3 linked regions of the Sus scrofa genome follow. Each later gene encodes a partner of the first gene's protein in a complex. Links are inferred from orthologs where the notes say so. Each region holds a gene or a part of one and is shown in the gene's direction. Other genes may lie near its edges.

What was found. Proteins that work in one complex are often made in the same cells at the same time.
Region 2: the proteins of ORC3 (region 1) and ORC5 are in contact, whole or in part, in a cryo-EM structure (PDB 7JPO), measured with the Homo sapiens proteins. The link is inferred for Sus scrofa from reciprocal best matches to the Homo sapiens genes ORC3 and ORC5. Residues at the interface, in NP_036513.2 of Homo sapiens: Glu99, Val109, Met144, Lys145, Leu148, His178, Ser180, Met181, Asp182, Glu223, Asp232, Ile235, Ile236, Gln239, His240, Ala253, Thr254, Ser255, Pro256, Ile257, Ile258, Ile259, Arg261, His265, Ser269, Cys272, Ile273, Glu274, Leu275, Ser280; in NP_002544.1 of Homo sapiens: Asn62, Val64, Glu65, Phe67, Thr68, Arg70, Leu71, Gln75, Tyr129, Leu270, Arg271, Ser274, Ser275, Ser276, Gln277, Leu294, His297, Thr298, His299, Val300, Glu301, Leu302, Pro303, Tyr304, Tyr305, Ser306, Asp360, Tyr367, Arg373, Pro376.
Region 3: the proteins of ORC3 (region 1) and ORC4 are in contact, whole or in part, in a cryo-EM structure (PDB 7JPO), measured with the Homo sapiens proteins. The link is inferred for Sus scrofa from reciprocal best matches to the Homo sapiens genes ORC3 and ORC4. Residues at the interface, in NP_036513.2 of Homo sapiens: Thr227, His260, Arg261, Leu262, Leu263, Pro264, His265, Ala266, Ser269; in NP_001177808.1 of Homo sapiens: Pro370, Lys374, Glu377, Gln381, Ser392, Gly393, Asn394, Ser395, Gln396, Arg397.

Annotation. Positions count from the first base shown.
Region 1 is NC_010443.5:55,991,357-55,996,633, forward strand, and holds part of ORC3 (origin recognition complex subunit 3), read left to right. Parts: intron 1-1,188; coding exon 1,189-1,333; intron 1,334-4,344; coding exon 4,345-4,449; intron 4,450-4,925; coding exon 4,926-5,077; intron 5,078-5,277. UniProt on the Homo sapiens protein: Component of the origin recognition complex (ORC) that binds origins of replication. DNA-binding is ATP-dependent. The specific DNA sequences that define origins of replication have not been identified yet.
Region 2 is NC_010451.4:104,127,353-104,132,629, reverse strand, and holds part of ORC5 (origin recognition complex subunit 5), read left to right. Parts: intron 1-1,900; coding exon 1,901-1,953; intron 1,954-3,981; coding exon 3,982-4,094; intron 4,095-5,277. UniProt on the Homo sapiens protein: Component of the origin recognition complex (ORC) that binds origins of replication. DNA-binding is ATP-dependent. The specific DNA sequences that define origins of replication have not been identified yet.
Region 3 is NC_010457.5:4,165,440-4,170,716, forward strand, and holds part of ORC4 (origin recognition complex subunit 4), read left to right. Parts: intron 1-2,628; coding exon 2,629-2,737; intron 2,738-3,452; coding exon 3,453-3,548; intron 3,549-3,633; coding exon 3,634-3,701; intron 3,702-5,277. UniProt on the Homo sapiens protein: Component of the origin recognition complex (ORC) that binds origins of replication. DNA-binding is ATP-dependent. The specific DNA sequences that define origins of replication have not been identified yet.

The DNA of each region.
Region 1 (5,277 bases):
TATGGACTTTGCAATTTATTTCTGTTTCCCATCACTCTCTTGCTTTATACCTGGTGGCTTTGCTCCTTCATATATTCCATGGGACCCTTGAAGCAATTTGTGTTTGTGGTTTCTAGCTTAGGAAACCTAAATTGTCATAATATCCTCTTAATTGATGTACCTGCTTCTGATGTCAAACCCTTAGGGTCTGACACGAGACCCTTTGCCACCACTGGCCAAATGCTGTCAGGCAGAGCCAGCCCTGTAGCACGAACGGGGGTTTTCCAGCCCCATTACTAGTAGAGCCTTTCAGATCCCATCTAATATGGCCTTCACAGTGCAGCCAGATTAACCCTTCTTTCACCCTGATTTAATCATATCTCTGCTTCAGATTCCTTTAATAGTTCTTCCCACAGAATAAAATTCAAACACTTTGACATCAAGTATATATTTTCTTAGAGTTCCCACTGTGGCACAGAGGGATCGGTGGCATCTTGGGAGCACCGGGACGCAGGTTTGAATCCTGGCCAGGCACAGTGGGTTAAGGATCTGGGGTTGCTCCAGCTGTGGCTTAGGTTGCAACTGCGGCTTGAATCTGATCCCTGGCCCCGGGAACTCCATATGCCTTGGGGCAGCCAAAAAAAAAAAAAGGAAAAAAAATAAATACATTTTTTTCTTGGTCTAGTTCATTGAGTATTTCAAGTTACATTCCCAGCCACTTTTTATGTTTTTTATGTTTAGCTATAACTGTGGTTCCCCCAGATGTTTGGTACTTTCTTCCCTGCTTGCCTCCTCCTGTCCCCATTCCTTCTAACTTTATTTCATCTACTGTTACCTGCTCTATCACCCACTCTGGTACTTAGGCTCAAATATATCACCTGCTCAGCTTTAATTGGCTGGCCTTAATCTTTTTTCCTATATTATCATAATGCTCCACACAATGTAAGTGTTCTAGCTCAATTTCTTCACTTTTTTAAAGAGACTCATTTGTAAGGTGGTTAGTAAATGTTTGCTAAATGAATAAATGAAATTCTTTAATGTACTATTCACTGCATAGATTTAAGGAAAATTTTAAATTTCATCTACTGTATAGTCATTTTACATGTGATCTTTGGAACTGAAATCATGGCAGTGTTCTTTCCTAAACTTGGAAAGATGCATCGGATTATTACTAACAATAATTCATAAAGTTTTATGTCTTCTTTGTAGCAACTACAAGAGGAATTAAATAAAAACCTGTTTGACAGTCTAATTGAATTTCTGCAAAAATCTCATTCTGGATTCCAGAAGAATTCAAGAGACTGGGGCTGTCAAATAAAGCTCAGAGAAATTCCAGCTGCTGCTCTTGTTCTAGGTACATATGTGTGTGTTTGTTTTTTTTAAATGGTGATTTTGTTGTTGAGAATAGTGGGAGATCACCTGTTTCGATAACCTGTTTTATGTCTTTCATTTACACAACTAAACCGTTAAAGTTTGCATGCTTTCAAAACCGGTAAAAGTTCCTTTTACTGATCATACACCTGTAAATTTTAGAAAATTGATCTAGAGTTAGCATCTGTCTCACCTTTTTGTCAGAAAATGAAAAGAAAATATATTTGTATTACTTTCTTCCTTGTTTTTGTTTTGTTTTTTTGTTTTTATAGGGCCGCACCAGCGACATATGGAGGTTCCCAGGCTAGGGGTCTAATCCGAGCTGTTGCTGCCAGTCTACTCCAGAGCCACAGCAATGCCAGATCCAAGCTGAGTCTGCAACCTACACCAGAGCTCACTGCAACGCTGGATCCTTAACCCACTGAGCAAGGCCAGGAATAGAACCTACAACCTAGAATCCCTCCTTCCTAGAGGGATTCATTTCTGCTACGCCATGACGGGAACTCCTTCCTTAGTTATTTTAATATGAGATTTGAATTCAGTAATAAACTACCAGTGTGTTAATAGATTTGATTTTTATACTTTTTAAAAACCATATCTTCAATGGAATTACTCTGTGATCTTAATTTTGTTTCCCTGTGCTTATTTTTTCATTCTTGGATTGTATTGTAATATTGTGTTAATATCAGTTGTTTAAATGGGTTTGGATGAACTGTGTACAAATTGCTTTCAGACTGCAGATTGTAAATTTTTTAGGTATTTACGTGTATCCATCATTAATATCTCATTTTAACCAAACATCTGGATTGCAGGATAATAGAAAAAATGTCTTTGAAATATTAGCAGATTTTCTTTATTCCTTTTGAAAGGAAGGGTTGGATTTATTTGGATTCCAAAAATACTCTTCATTGTACTTCCAATTTGTTATTTTTTCAGGGTCTGAGATAAATTAATTCTGTTGTTTAATACTACCTCTAGTACTGTTCATTATCTAAATCTTATTCCTGATATTCAGGACAATACTTTTCAGACTTTCATGTACCTACAAATAACCTCCATGGGATCTTAGTAGACTCAGAGTTTCATTAATAGATCAGGTGTGTGTGTGTGCGCACGTGCGCGTGTGTGAAACTCTGCATTTCTTTTTCTTTCTTTTTTTTTTCCTTCTGGCTACACTTGTGGAATAGGGAAGTTCCCAGGCCAGAGATTGTATCTGTGCCACAGCAGCGACCCAAGCCATGGCAGTGACAGTGCTGAGTCCTTAACCCACTGCACCACCAGGGAACTCCGAAATCCTGCATTTCTATCAGGTTTACAGCTCATGCTTATATTGCCAATTCCAGGACCATTTTGAGGAACAAGACTCCAGAGAATGATATTTATAATGCTGTGAACCAGGTCCTCAGTGCTGCCTGCCACTTGATTTCAAACCTCTTCCATTTTTGGATGAGAAACTGAGGCTCATTGATGGCCAACTTGTACTGTGGGGTGCTTTGTCTCTTTCCTGCCAGGTTAAAGCAGTTGGAGGTGGAGTAGGGGAAACACAATCAAGAGGGATGGCCTGATTGTTGTGAGAGCTCTGTTTAAATCTGTTCTCCACCTACTGCCAAAAGGAGAAAAGAAACTAATTGAAATCATATGTTTCAAAGTCAGTGGTCGGAGGAGAACATTTTTCCAGTTAAAGTCGTTGTTGATTATCTTGTTTCCAATAGACAGTTCCATTGTTTTAAGGAACATAGCGTTAAATAGTTAATAAAGTCAGTCAGTAAAGAAAGATAAGCCAGTGTTTTACTAAAATCCCAAATTTGTTCAGAGATACCGTATCACAATCATAGACCATAGTGCATGCTAGGAATATCATTTTGATTCTATAAGAAAGAAGAATCTATACTCAAAAGAATGCTTAAGCACAGTTGGATCTTTGTTTTCAAAAAGGCATATGTCCATTTAAAAATACCCTGTCAACATTTTTGTCTCCTAGAAAAAAAAAAATTTGCTTAGTGGTGGCCTGGGTGATTCTGAAACCTTTTTCTTTCCTTCCAAGCAGCTGAAGTTTTATAGTAGCAAGTCTCAGAGCAGTTTTAAGATGTGAGCTGCTGGCCCCTGCCTAAGCACCGAAGCACTTCCTAGAACTCACACATTGTGACGCTAGGGAAATCATCAGTTATCACAATTTTTTTCCAAAGTAGTAGGGAAGTTTCCACTCAACTCTGGTAACTGCATGCAGAGCACTAAAACTCTGTTTGTGGAAATCAGAACCAGGGATTCAGGAGTTCCCGTCGTGGCGCAGTGGTTAACGAATCCGACTAGGAACCATGAGGTTGCAGGTTCGGTCCCTGCCCTTGCTCAGTGGGTTAACGATCCGGCATTGCCGTGAGCTGTGGTGTAGGTTGCAGACGCGGCTCGGATCCTGCGTTGCTATAGCTCTGGCGTAGGCTGGCAGCTACAGCTCCGATTCGACCCCAAGCCTGGGAACCTCCATATGCCACAGGAGCGGCCCAAAGAAATAGCAAAAAAAAGAACCAGGGATTCAGTAAATACTTAAAGGATCTAAAGTTTTAATTAGTTTTTAGACTCTTCCCTCAAAAATCAACTCAATATATACTTCACCTTTTGTATTTATTACTGTGATCATTAATAGTATTAATGATTGGCCTCTCCTCAGTTGTTAAGTTAGGGTCACAGTAAGGCCCTTATTTTTGATTGACTGTTTTAAAGAACTCTGTGAATTTTAAATTACTTCAACTATATGTCCCCAGTAGTTTTTTGAAAGGAAAATTGTGCTAAATACCTTTCCTGGCTAGTGTGTGCCTCTGCGTGTCTACTTTTAATAGAGATCTCTTCATCTCTGTGGTATATTTTCTTAGTTTTTGTTACTAACCATGTTTTAAAAATATTTTTACTTCATAATTTACTTGACATGTTAAATAGCTTTTTTGTTATTAAATTATTAATGATAAAATGATGGTATAATATTGATTTATTATCCCATAGGTGTGAATGTAACAGATCATGACTTAACATTCAGGAGTCTAACAGAAGCCCTTCAGAATAATGTCACTCCATATGTAGTCTCATTGCAAGCTAAAGATTGTCCAGGTGAAGTATTAATGCTCTAATAACCTTGATGAGATGTTACACATCTCTTCCGTCTTCTTTCTGGCTGTCTTTATCCCTTTTTATTTGTGGGAAGAGCATGACACTGAGTTTTTGGCAGGATGAGGTTCAGTACCTCACAGAGTAATCCCGAGCCTTCAAAACCTTTTGCTGTCCGGTGTTATATAAGTACATATTATTCCTAATATAATATATAGTTTTCAGGTTTATGCATTTGCTTAGGTAATACTTTTCTTATAGACAATAGACATAAACTTTAGTGTTAGTCTGAATTAATGAAATTTAAATATTGGGAGGATGTTAATGAACCTTAATAGTTAGTATGTTAAATGTTATGTCAATGTTAATTGTAGAAAAACACATTCTACCCAAATAGTTTAATATACTGATCAAGAAATTTCAGGTGTTTTAGATTTGTTTTAAGGGGATATGATTTATTTACATTTTATATTCTGCAGATATTAAGCATTTTTTGCAAAAGCTCACCTCACAATTGATGGACTGCAATGTAGATGTGCCATCCAAAGAGAAAGAAAGTGTTCAGTTCACTCAGAAGAAGACACATTATTCCATGGATTCTCTTTCCAGTTGGTACATGAATGTCACACAGGTAAATGTAAATTGACATTTTTTCCCACCAGGAAATTGGCATATGATTGAAGAGGTCTAGAATTACAGTAAAACCATAGTACTTTTTTGTTCTAATAAGGATATGTTTTGGTAGCACCAGTTGTTAATTTAGCAGTAGCTACTTATTTTTCCTAAGGCTATTAGAATTCAGAAGTTTTCTTTTATCAGTATTCTTGATTC
Region 2 (5,277 bases), on another chromosome or scaffold:
CATGTGACCTCAACTAATACAACTACTTAATACATCTGCCATAACTCTGCATCACCTCTAGAAATTGGTAGTTCATATATATTTATTTAGAACATGAATGGACTTCTTTTATCAGACAGGTCTCAATTGAAATGCTGGTTCCACTTCTTAGAAGCTTTGCAGCCCTAGTCAAATTAGTTTATTTCTCTGGATCTCAGTCTTGTTATTTGTTTAAAAAATAAAAAAAAGAAAAAAGCAATGATACTGTCTTGTAAGTTTATGAGGATTAAGTGGAGTATGTTAAGAGCTGGGTTCGTAATAGACATTAAGTAAATGTTATTTTTCTCTCTTCCCATTGAAGATAGTTTTCCCCTGGTTGTCCTTTGAAAGTTTAAATAACATTAAATTGGTAATTGCCATATAAAAAAATCTTACCAATTTAAACTCTCGAAGTCTGGTTAGATGACATTGTAACTGATAAAAATTTATTTTTATTTGCATTTATAAGAAGAAATGAATGTGAAAGTGCCTTATTTGTGAAGCACTGTTTAGCTATAAGGTGGGGAAAATGATTGATCTGGAAAGTAAGATTGTTGAAGTAGGTCTGTTCTCCACATACATTAGTAGCCTTTAGAATTCCTTACATTGCTATATTCCTACGATTTTCAGCTGTGCTTGAAGATTTGAAAAAATATACACAGTTAATTTGGGGTATTTAATTGTTCTGATCTGGGTTTTTTAAATTATTTATTTATTTTTTGTTTTGTTTTGATTTTTAGGGCTGAAGCCGTGGCATATGGAGGTTCCCAGGCTATGGTTCCAGTCAAAGCTGTAGCCGCTGGCCTATGTGCCAGAGCCACAGCAACACCAGATTTGAGCCGCATCCATGACCTACACCACAGCACAGCAACTCCAGATCCTTAGCCCACTGAGTGAGGCCAGGGATCGAACCCTCAACCTCATGGTTCCTAGTCAGATTCATTTTTGCTGAGCCACGATGAGAACCCCCGGCTTTAATTTTTAAATTAGCGTCTTTTTTTTTTTTTTGCCATGCCACGGCATGTGGAAATTCCCAGTCCAGGGATCAAACCTGCACTGTAGTTGCAGCCTGCCCCACAGCTGTGGCAACATCAGATCCTTAACCTGCTCTGCCGCAAGGGAACTTCCTTAATTTAGTATTTTAAGGGCTGTTGTAAGAGAGTTTGAGAGTTGTAGAGGGTCTTTGAATATCCTTGTGCCTAACTGCCTAGTTTTATAATGAGATTATTGCTTTATTTAGGGTCATACGGCCAGTATTTCTGTTGCCAGGGCAGTCTTTGCCCGTCATTGTTATGTGCTTCTCTATGAAATTGATTTGTTATATCACTTCTCTATTCTCAGTAATATTTAGGGCTGTTTAATAGTTTTAAATGCAAGTAAGATCACAGTTGGGCCTGGAGTTAGCATGAACTCTGCAGGTGTTTTACAAGGATTCAGCTCTTAGCGCCACTACTGACTGGCTGGGGAACATATCCTTAGGCAACTTAACGGTGGGCCTCAGTTTTTTTGATGTAATGATACTTACTGTAGGAGTTGTTACAGAGTTTAGAAACCATTTATAACAGTTGTATTTAATATGATAACTAGAATATTGGGAGTTTTATTGAGTGGTAGGTGATACTTATTTGTTGGTGCTTTTTGATAGCTTTATAATTATGAATAGAGGAGATTTTAAAGAGTCAACATCTGTGTATTGATATATTCGTTTATATTGTTATGTACTAAATGATTTTGTAGAGGTACAGACATGTATATGTTATTTATCTTGTTTATAAGGAAATTATTTTGTCAAATTAAAATTAGTTTTTCTAGGACTCTGTTTTAAGTACAGTGTATTGATTTTGTGTTTTCCATCCTTTATTGCTCTTCCATTTTCTTTCAGTTCACAGTGGGAAAAGCTACAGAAAGATGACATAGATCCAGGACAACTGAAAGGTATCAAAGGAAATATTGAGACAATTACCAGAGATTCTTCTTTAATTGATTACTAATAATCAAGACACTAAAGTTAGCACTAAAGATAATGTCAGTCAGTAGTGTTATATAAGAGAATTTACAAGCCACCATGATATTTTAATTAATGATTTTCTTTTAAGGAATGCACTAATGTAGTGGGAGGAAGTGAAGTTTGAATACCAGTTTTATGTTCAATTATGTCATGTGAAAACCAAGCTGTTTATATTTCTTTAAATGCTTATATTAAAACAACACAATTTTATTTCTGTATGGATTTCATAAGTTTTATGGAATAAATTCAATTTTATGTTAGTGTAGTTTGGGGGATGAATTTCATGTGGTTATATTTTGAAAGCTTTGTGCTTTTGTTTTCTTCAAAGAAACTGTTACTCTGGGTTTATCCCAGTAGAACAACAGTTGAGCCTTGAACAGCACAGATTTGAGCTGCATGGGTCCACTTATACACAGATTTTTTTTTTCAATAAATATATTGGAAAATTATTTGAAGATACACAACAATTAAAAAAAAAAAAACAGATGACCTGCATAGCCTAGAAAAATATCAAAAAAAATTAAGGAAATAAGGTATGTCATGAATGCATAAAATATATGTAGATATACATAAAACATGTAAAATATGTGTTAATTGATTGTCTATATTAACAGTAAGTGTCCCAGTCAACAGTAGGCTGTTACTAGTTAAGTTTTGGAGGAGTCAAAAGTTATATACAGATTTTCTATTTCATAGGAGAGGTGTTTCAGTGCCCCTAACACTCTCCCTCTCCTTTTATTTAAGGGCCAACTTATTTATTTATTTTAAATAAGTAGGTATCTAAAGTATTCTTTATTAGAAGTTCCCGTCATGGCTCGGTGGTTAACGAACCCTACTAGCATTCATGAGGATGCAGATTCGAACCCTGACCTCACTCAGTGCGTTAAGGATCTGCAGTGAGCTGTGATGTAGGTCACAAATGTGGATCAGATCCCGTGGTGCTGTGGCTCTGGTGTAGACCCGCGGCTACAGCTCTGATTGGATCCCTAGCCTGGGAACCTACATATGCCATAGGTGCAGCCCTAAAAAGACAAAAAATAAAATGCTATGTTTAAAAAATAAATTAAAAAAATACTCTTATTTAAACAGTTGAGTCAGTAGCTAGTGGTGGGCCAAGTGGTATGAAATGAAGTGGCATTGAGATTCTATTTTGGTTTCTAAATGCTTGAGATGCTAAATGATTTTCAGTTATGTGTTATATAATGGAAAGGAATAGATGCTGGAATTTTAAAAAATCTATAATAATTTGTTCAACTGCCTGTGTGATCTTGAGCCCAACTTGGTGTCTTCAGAAAGCTAAAATGGAAAGACTCGAGCTTTAAGTTACTGCAGAGATTCAGAGATGCTTAAGTAAAGCACCTAGCACAATGTTTTACACATACTAGATATTTAGTAAATATCAGATTCCTTTATTCCCTTCCATAAAAATCATTGCTGCTTTGACTGACTCTTTGGTTTTATTTATCTATTCATTTAGTTCATTTGTACAAGGTAATGTGGGGATACAAAAAGAACATATTAGCCATGGCTTCTTCAATGAACACTATAATGTAAGAAATGTAACTTCTGTTTAATTAGCTCTTAATATAAGGTATAAAGTTATGTGGGCCACAAGTAAAATACACGAAGTAGGAATTCACAGTAGAGACAAATTTGCTGTTTTGTTGTGATAGGGGAGCATCAAGGAAGGTTTCATGGAGAATGTGGCATTGCAGGGCAGGATGAATAGAATTTAGACTTCAGAAGAGGAGGAGCCAAAAAAAATAGAATGAGCAGAGCATATCATTAATAATAACGTTCACGTCTGCCACCATCATTCTGGCACTTTGAGCTAAGGGCACTTTAAAATCTTTTGACTAGAGGACACCATATGGAAGTCAAAGGAAAAGATAAGAGATACTTAAAGTCTAATGGTAGCCTGTTATATACCTTCATAAAATTTTTTTGTTGTATAGGTCTCTCGGCATGTACTCATGTGGAACTTCCATATTACTCTAAGTTTATTCTAATTGCTGCATACCTCGCTTCTTACAATCCAGCAAGAACTGACAAGAGGTTTTTCCTTAAGGTAATCATTATTTCTTTTCACTCAGTTTTGAAGATCTAGGGAATATTTTGAAATTCCTCAACACCTGTAAATTTGTAAAGGACAGAGATTGGCAAAAGAGATTGCATTTGCTAAATTACATATTTAGGACTCATTTTTTAAAGATTTCATTTATTTGTTTATTTTTCTTTAATCATTTATTCTTTCCCTTTGCCAATTAGCAGTGTTCTTTGAGAATTTACTGTAGGATATTGGGGATGGGTGAGTGCCACTTTTGGGATGGGGACAGTGCTGGAGCAGAGAAGCTAAAAAGTGATTGTATTTGTGTCTAGTAAGTGAGATATGATAATAAACAACTTGCAGGGAAGTGTTGAGGAAGGAAAGATTTGTGGAGGAGGTAGAATTGGTTGCTGAATCTTCAAAGACATACAGTGTGAAAATGACAGCAAAAAACAGATGTGTCTTTCCTGGAAAGAATATTGATAATAAAATCTAGAGGCCCTAAAAGCTTTATCTAACAATGGAGCATTCCACACACTTCAACACACCTCAAAATAGAGTTTCTTTGGGATGCATGAGCCATTATCTCCATCACCTTTCACCAAACCCTCCTTCTCCATGATGAACTCATTTGCCCTGTATGGTCTTCTCCATACAGCCATTTGCTCGATGGCATCGTGTCAAATAGGTAAAAAATAACCTTGTAACCAGATTAACCAGATATATTTTGCTAAAACCCAGTTACAAGCTGATAATAAAAAAGTTTAGTCAAACTGAACTTTTCTGTTTCTAGAACTTGGCTGTTTTTCCACCTCACTCTCTAAGCTTTTGTTTACCTTGGCTTTTCCATCTTAGAATTTCTTCTTCTCCAATCTCTATATACTTAAATTTCAATATTCTTTTTTTCCCCCTTTAATCATTTTTCCCCCTTTAATCATTTATAATTTAATTATTTAATCATTTATTCTCTATCTCTCACTTTAAGATCACAGACCAAATGGTTGCAGTAGGTAGTTTCAGGTATACCTTAGGTAATACTTCTACATTAAAAAAAAAAAAAAAAAAAAATATATATATATATATATATATGTATGTAAATGAAAGTTTCTTAAAAATATGAGAGCTGGAAATAATTTTATGGCTAGTAACTCCTTTATTGTTCTAAAGCCCTTACTATAGTACTCCATACGTCATTATCCAGAAC
Region 3 (5,277 bases), on another chromosome or scaffold:
CATAATAAAGGTATTTGGAAAATAAGAATTTTTAGAGATTTTAGTTATTTGTGTACCAAAATTAGACTATTTACTAACTTACGTTATTTGGAAGATACACATACACACATTCCTCTCATCATTCTGGGAAAAATATCTTTGCTTCAAAGTTGTCAACATGAACCACTGTTTTGCCAGTTTCCTATTACATTTTTAATTCAAGGTAATGGCTTGATTTTTGGTTTGGTTTTTCTTGTTTTGGAATTGGTTGAAATTATTGAGGAAGGATTTCAACAAATTTGGAATTGGTTGAAATTTTTAAGGAAAGTTTGAAAGACTTGACTGCAATTAAATGCAGTTATTTGGATAATTTTTCACCAAAAAAATCAGGAGTTATACACATAGAAAAAACACATTCATTGCATAGCCAAAAGTAAATTTCAGGTTGATAAACCTAAATGTATATACAAAAGCAAACTCTTTTAGAAATTAGAAGAAAAATATAAGAGATTATGTTTGTATTTTTGAGGTAAGAAAATATTTCTTAGAGAAGTTACACAAATCACAAGAAAAGATGGTTAAAGTTAATTGCATTGAATTTTTAAATGTCTGGACACCAAAAGATACTACAGAAGTGATGACTGATTAGGAGAGGAAAATGACAACACAATCATCAACACTATACGTAATTTATAAAGAGCTTCTAGAGTAAACAGTAAGGGAATGAACCAACTAAGAATGTGAGCACAAGCAATCCACCAGTGTAGTATCTCATGTCTTATAATGTGTAAAGATGTTTAACCTCCAGAAATTATGGAGTTCCCGTTGTGGCTCAGTGGAAACAAATATGACTAGTATCCATGAGGGTGCAGGTTCGATCCCTGGCCTTGCTCAGTGGGTTAAGGACCTGGCAATCTGATGAGTTTCAAAAGTTTATGTCTGATGGTATGGTGTCTGCCTGCGACTATTAAATTTATTGCTGCTAGTAGTATAAATACATATAGGTACTTTGGAGAGCAATATGGCAAATTAAGCATCTAGAGATACTCAGATTCATAAGAAGGCATGTACAAGATTGTTTATTGTAGCCTTGTTTATAATTACAAAAAAAGAAATGACAGATATCCATCAATAGGGGAAAGAATAATTGTGAGTATAAACAAAGGACTACAATACAAAAAAAAAATGAAACTAGAATTGATATCTTAACATGGATGAATCCTCATGATAGATGTTCAGTGAAGAAAGAGTGGCATAAGTATAATATGTTATTTATATAAAACTTGAAAATTACTCTGTATTGTCTACAAAGATATGTAGTAGAAGGATGAAGACATGCATGATTTTTTTTTGCATGGAGAAGAGTAGAGAGTCCAACCAGGGCAAGAGACAGGAACTTCGACTCTGTAAGTCTATATTTCATAAGCTGAGGAAGTGGTCCTTGACACTCATATTATTCTCTTACCTTTTTATATGTCAGAAATATTTTATAATGAAAGGAAAATGGAAGGGTAAGAGAAAGGGAGGAAACTACTGGGTACCTGAGTTCCTCCCTACACAGGAATGAAGGACAAGGATTGCCAAACTCTTTCACTGAAGTAAGGACCCTGGTCCCTGGTTTAAAAATGGGGAGTTTCTGGTAAAAATATGTCCCAAATATTACAATGTATACACTTAAACTAAGAAGTTACTCATTGTTTACCTGGAATTCAAATTTAATCAGATGCCATGCATTTTTATCTGCTAAATCTGCTAGCCCTATATATATGACTAAATCTGAATGTTGAATTAATTATACTTCAATTAAAGTTTTTTTTAAAAAAATAAGTAAAAATTAGATGTTATATAAGTTACAAATAAAGAAATCTTCAAATACAAGAGTTTTTTTGTTGAAAAAACAACTTGCTACAGAAAAGTGGACTCTGCTTTCAAGGAGAGTTGTTTATGTGTATAATTTGGGGTTTATTTATTTTTTTCTTTTTTATACACTCGAACATTAAAGTAACTGACTTCTATCACTTAACATTAACCTGGACTGGCTGACTGAATGCTAAGAAAGTTTATTCAAGTCACAGATCTACATTTTTGGTTTGGGTTTTGTTTGGTCTAGGGCTTTGAATAGTATCCTTTCTTATTTTTGGTCTCTTGTTGACCTTTTAAAATATTTTTCTTTTGAGGATTTGTAAACAAACAAGATATGCAAGGAAAGGGTGGAGAAGCAGCAAGAACTTTTTTTGTCCCTCTTTTTTTTTTTTTTTTTTTTTTTTTACCACCTGGCTGTTGTGAAGTTCCCAGGCCAGGGATCAGATCCCTTCTGCAATTGCAAACTATGCCATAGCTACAATGCTAGATCCTTAACCCACTGTGCTGGGCCATGGCATCAGGGGATAGAACCTGCATCTGGTGCTCCAGAGATGCTGATCCTGTTGTGCCATAGCAGGAACTCCAGCAAAAATTTTTTTGTGCTTTACATTTATACAGTTATATGGCATGTGACTTGAAATGCTGTATTTTAATAGAGCTAAAGATGAGAATATCTTTCTCAAACATTAATATTTAGTCTTCCAGAACTCTAAATAGTTTTGTTTAGTAATATTTCTAAAATGCCCAAATAACATGCAGTTGTTTTTCTGATCTGTATTTCCCTAGATGCTTGCTTTAAATCGTGTAACACCATCACACCCTTTTATGACTGCAACAGATCTGATGGAGGCAAACCAGCTGTGTAGCATGGACTCTAAAGCAAATATTGTACATGGTAAGAAACCTGCTTGGTTAGTAGTTTTTAAAATAAGTTTGAGTTTATATAATGGTATGCTTTTCAAAATTATAATTAATATTGGATATAGTGTTTTGTATACAGAATACTTTTATATCCATATATCCTTTAACTCAGCCTTTTAAAAATATTTATTATTATTCCCATTTAAAATGAGAGAAAGTTGACGCTCAGCCTCCCTTGTCACATTGGAAATCCAGCTAAGACTTTACTGCAGGTATTCTCATTACACCAAATGCTACAGAGGAGCATTGGCTTTTAGCCATTTGGGGTTCGTTGTCCCTTTTGAGAATCTAATGAACCTTCTCTCTAGGAAAAAAACAAACTAAGATATAATCTCCAGGGGATTAGAGATTCTGAATAATCAAGGGCCCTAAAGCTATTTAAAGTTACCTAATTGCAGCTCTAGTTGTGTTTACTGTGGGCCATATGCTGAGTGTTTGATAATATTATCTCTAATCCTTATAACATCTCTGAAAGTTTTACGTATATGAAAGTTAAGCTCTGGGAGGTTGAATAACTTGCTTAAGATTATATAGTGACTGAAACATGTTTGAACCTAGGGGATGTCTTGACTTCTCACCCCTCAAAACCATGATCTTTGACTTTACCTTTCTATTTGGAGGACAGTTATTTTAAAATTATATGTCAGTAAATAAACTACTATTCATAGTTTGTCTTCCTTTTATTATAGGTCTGTCAGTCTTGGAAATCTGTCTTATCATAGCGATGAAACATTTAAATGACATCTATGAAGAGGAGCCCTTTAATTTTCAAATGGTTTATAATGGTGAGATGAAACTTTAGTAGTTCCTTTTTGACTCTACCCCACTGCTTATTTGAAGGTACTAATGTTGTCATTGCTTTCTGTACAGAGTTTCAGAAGTTTGTTCAAAGGAAGGCCCATTCTGTTTACAATTTTGAGAAACCTGTTGTCATGAAGGTAGGGTTTTAAGTTCGCTATTATTCTTTTGCAGATAGTTACATTTTTACATCTAATTTGAGTGTATGTAACATACTTTCATTAATTTTGAAATATTAGCTATTATCATAGGATTTTTTTTCAAAACAGACCCCAAAAATAAAACTAAAAATGAAGTGTTTGAATAATTCTGAAGAATGCAGCCAGTTCTGTTTTAGTTTGTGGCAATATACTGCCCTCTACTGTCTCTTCCTAGCAGATGCATCACTCTTTACAGCCTGTCTCATAACACAGATATAACCCTATTCCCTTACAGTCATAGGGTTGGCTTTATAATCTCAGCAGTAAAAGCGACAGAATGAGTCATTAAGAAAATAAGTCAAAATCTCATTGACTTATGAGGGTATATAGAGAAAGATGTAGTGGGGCATGAATTTTAAAACCTGAGAAACTTTATTCTAGGATACATTGTCACCAGACATATAATGTGAACCACATAATGTAGCTTTATGTAATTTTTCTAATAGCAACAAAAAAGTGAAAAAGGTGAAATTAACTTGAAAAATAAATTTTGTTTAATATATCAAAAAATCTTTCAACCTATAATCATTACAGGAATTTTTTTTTTTTTTTTTTTTTTTTTTTTTTGCTTTTTAGGGCCATGCCTGCAGCATATAGAAGTTCCCAGGCTAGGGATCAGATCAGAGCTACAGCTGAGGGCCCACACCACAACCACAGCAACAAGCTGCATATGCAACCTACACCACAGCTCATGCACAACACCAGATCCTTTAACTCACTGAGTAAGGTCAGGGATCGAACATGTATCCTCATGGATACTAGTTGGGTTTGTTTCCACTGAGACACAATGGGAACTCTGAAGGAATTTTTCAACAGGTTGTAGTGAGGTCTCTGTCAGACTTCTAGGGAAACAGGAAACTGTCCTTTCCTCTATATCTATACCATTCTGCTGAATCATTTATAGGATCAGTTCAACAGGTGTACTCCTAGGGGTTTTCTCCTGCCTCCCTCTCTTTTCATAGCTACATTAAGCTTTCACCCAGCCAAATCTTAAAAAGGTAGGAGCAAAACTTAAATGCAAACTTCAATAACCTCAGCAATTAGTCAAGAAGTACTGGTCTTCAAGTTCCCATTGTGGCTCAGTGGTAAAATGAAACTGACTAGCAACCATGAGGATGAAGATTCAATCCCAGGTCCCACTCAGTGGGTTAAGGATCTGGTATTGCTGTGAGCTTCAGTGTAGGTTGCAGACGCATCTCGGATCTGGTGTTGCTGTGGCTGTGGCATAGGCTGGTAGCTGAACCTCTGACTTGACCCTAGCCTGGGAACCCCCATATGCAGGTGGGTGGAAAGAAAGGGAATACTGGTTTTATCAGATCTTAAGTACTAGGAGATATGATATCGAATGAAGTTAGGAACAAAAACCATATTCTGCACACTGAATTAAGTTTGCCCTGTTTACATTCAGAGATGCATGGACAGATAACTATGTATGTTGATGCTGCCTCACATGATGTATGAAGTTTTTATGAGGTTGATGAGAATTGTTTTTTGAACCTTACTGGCATCTATTAAG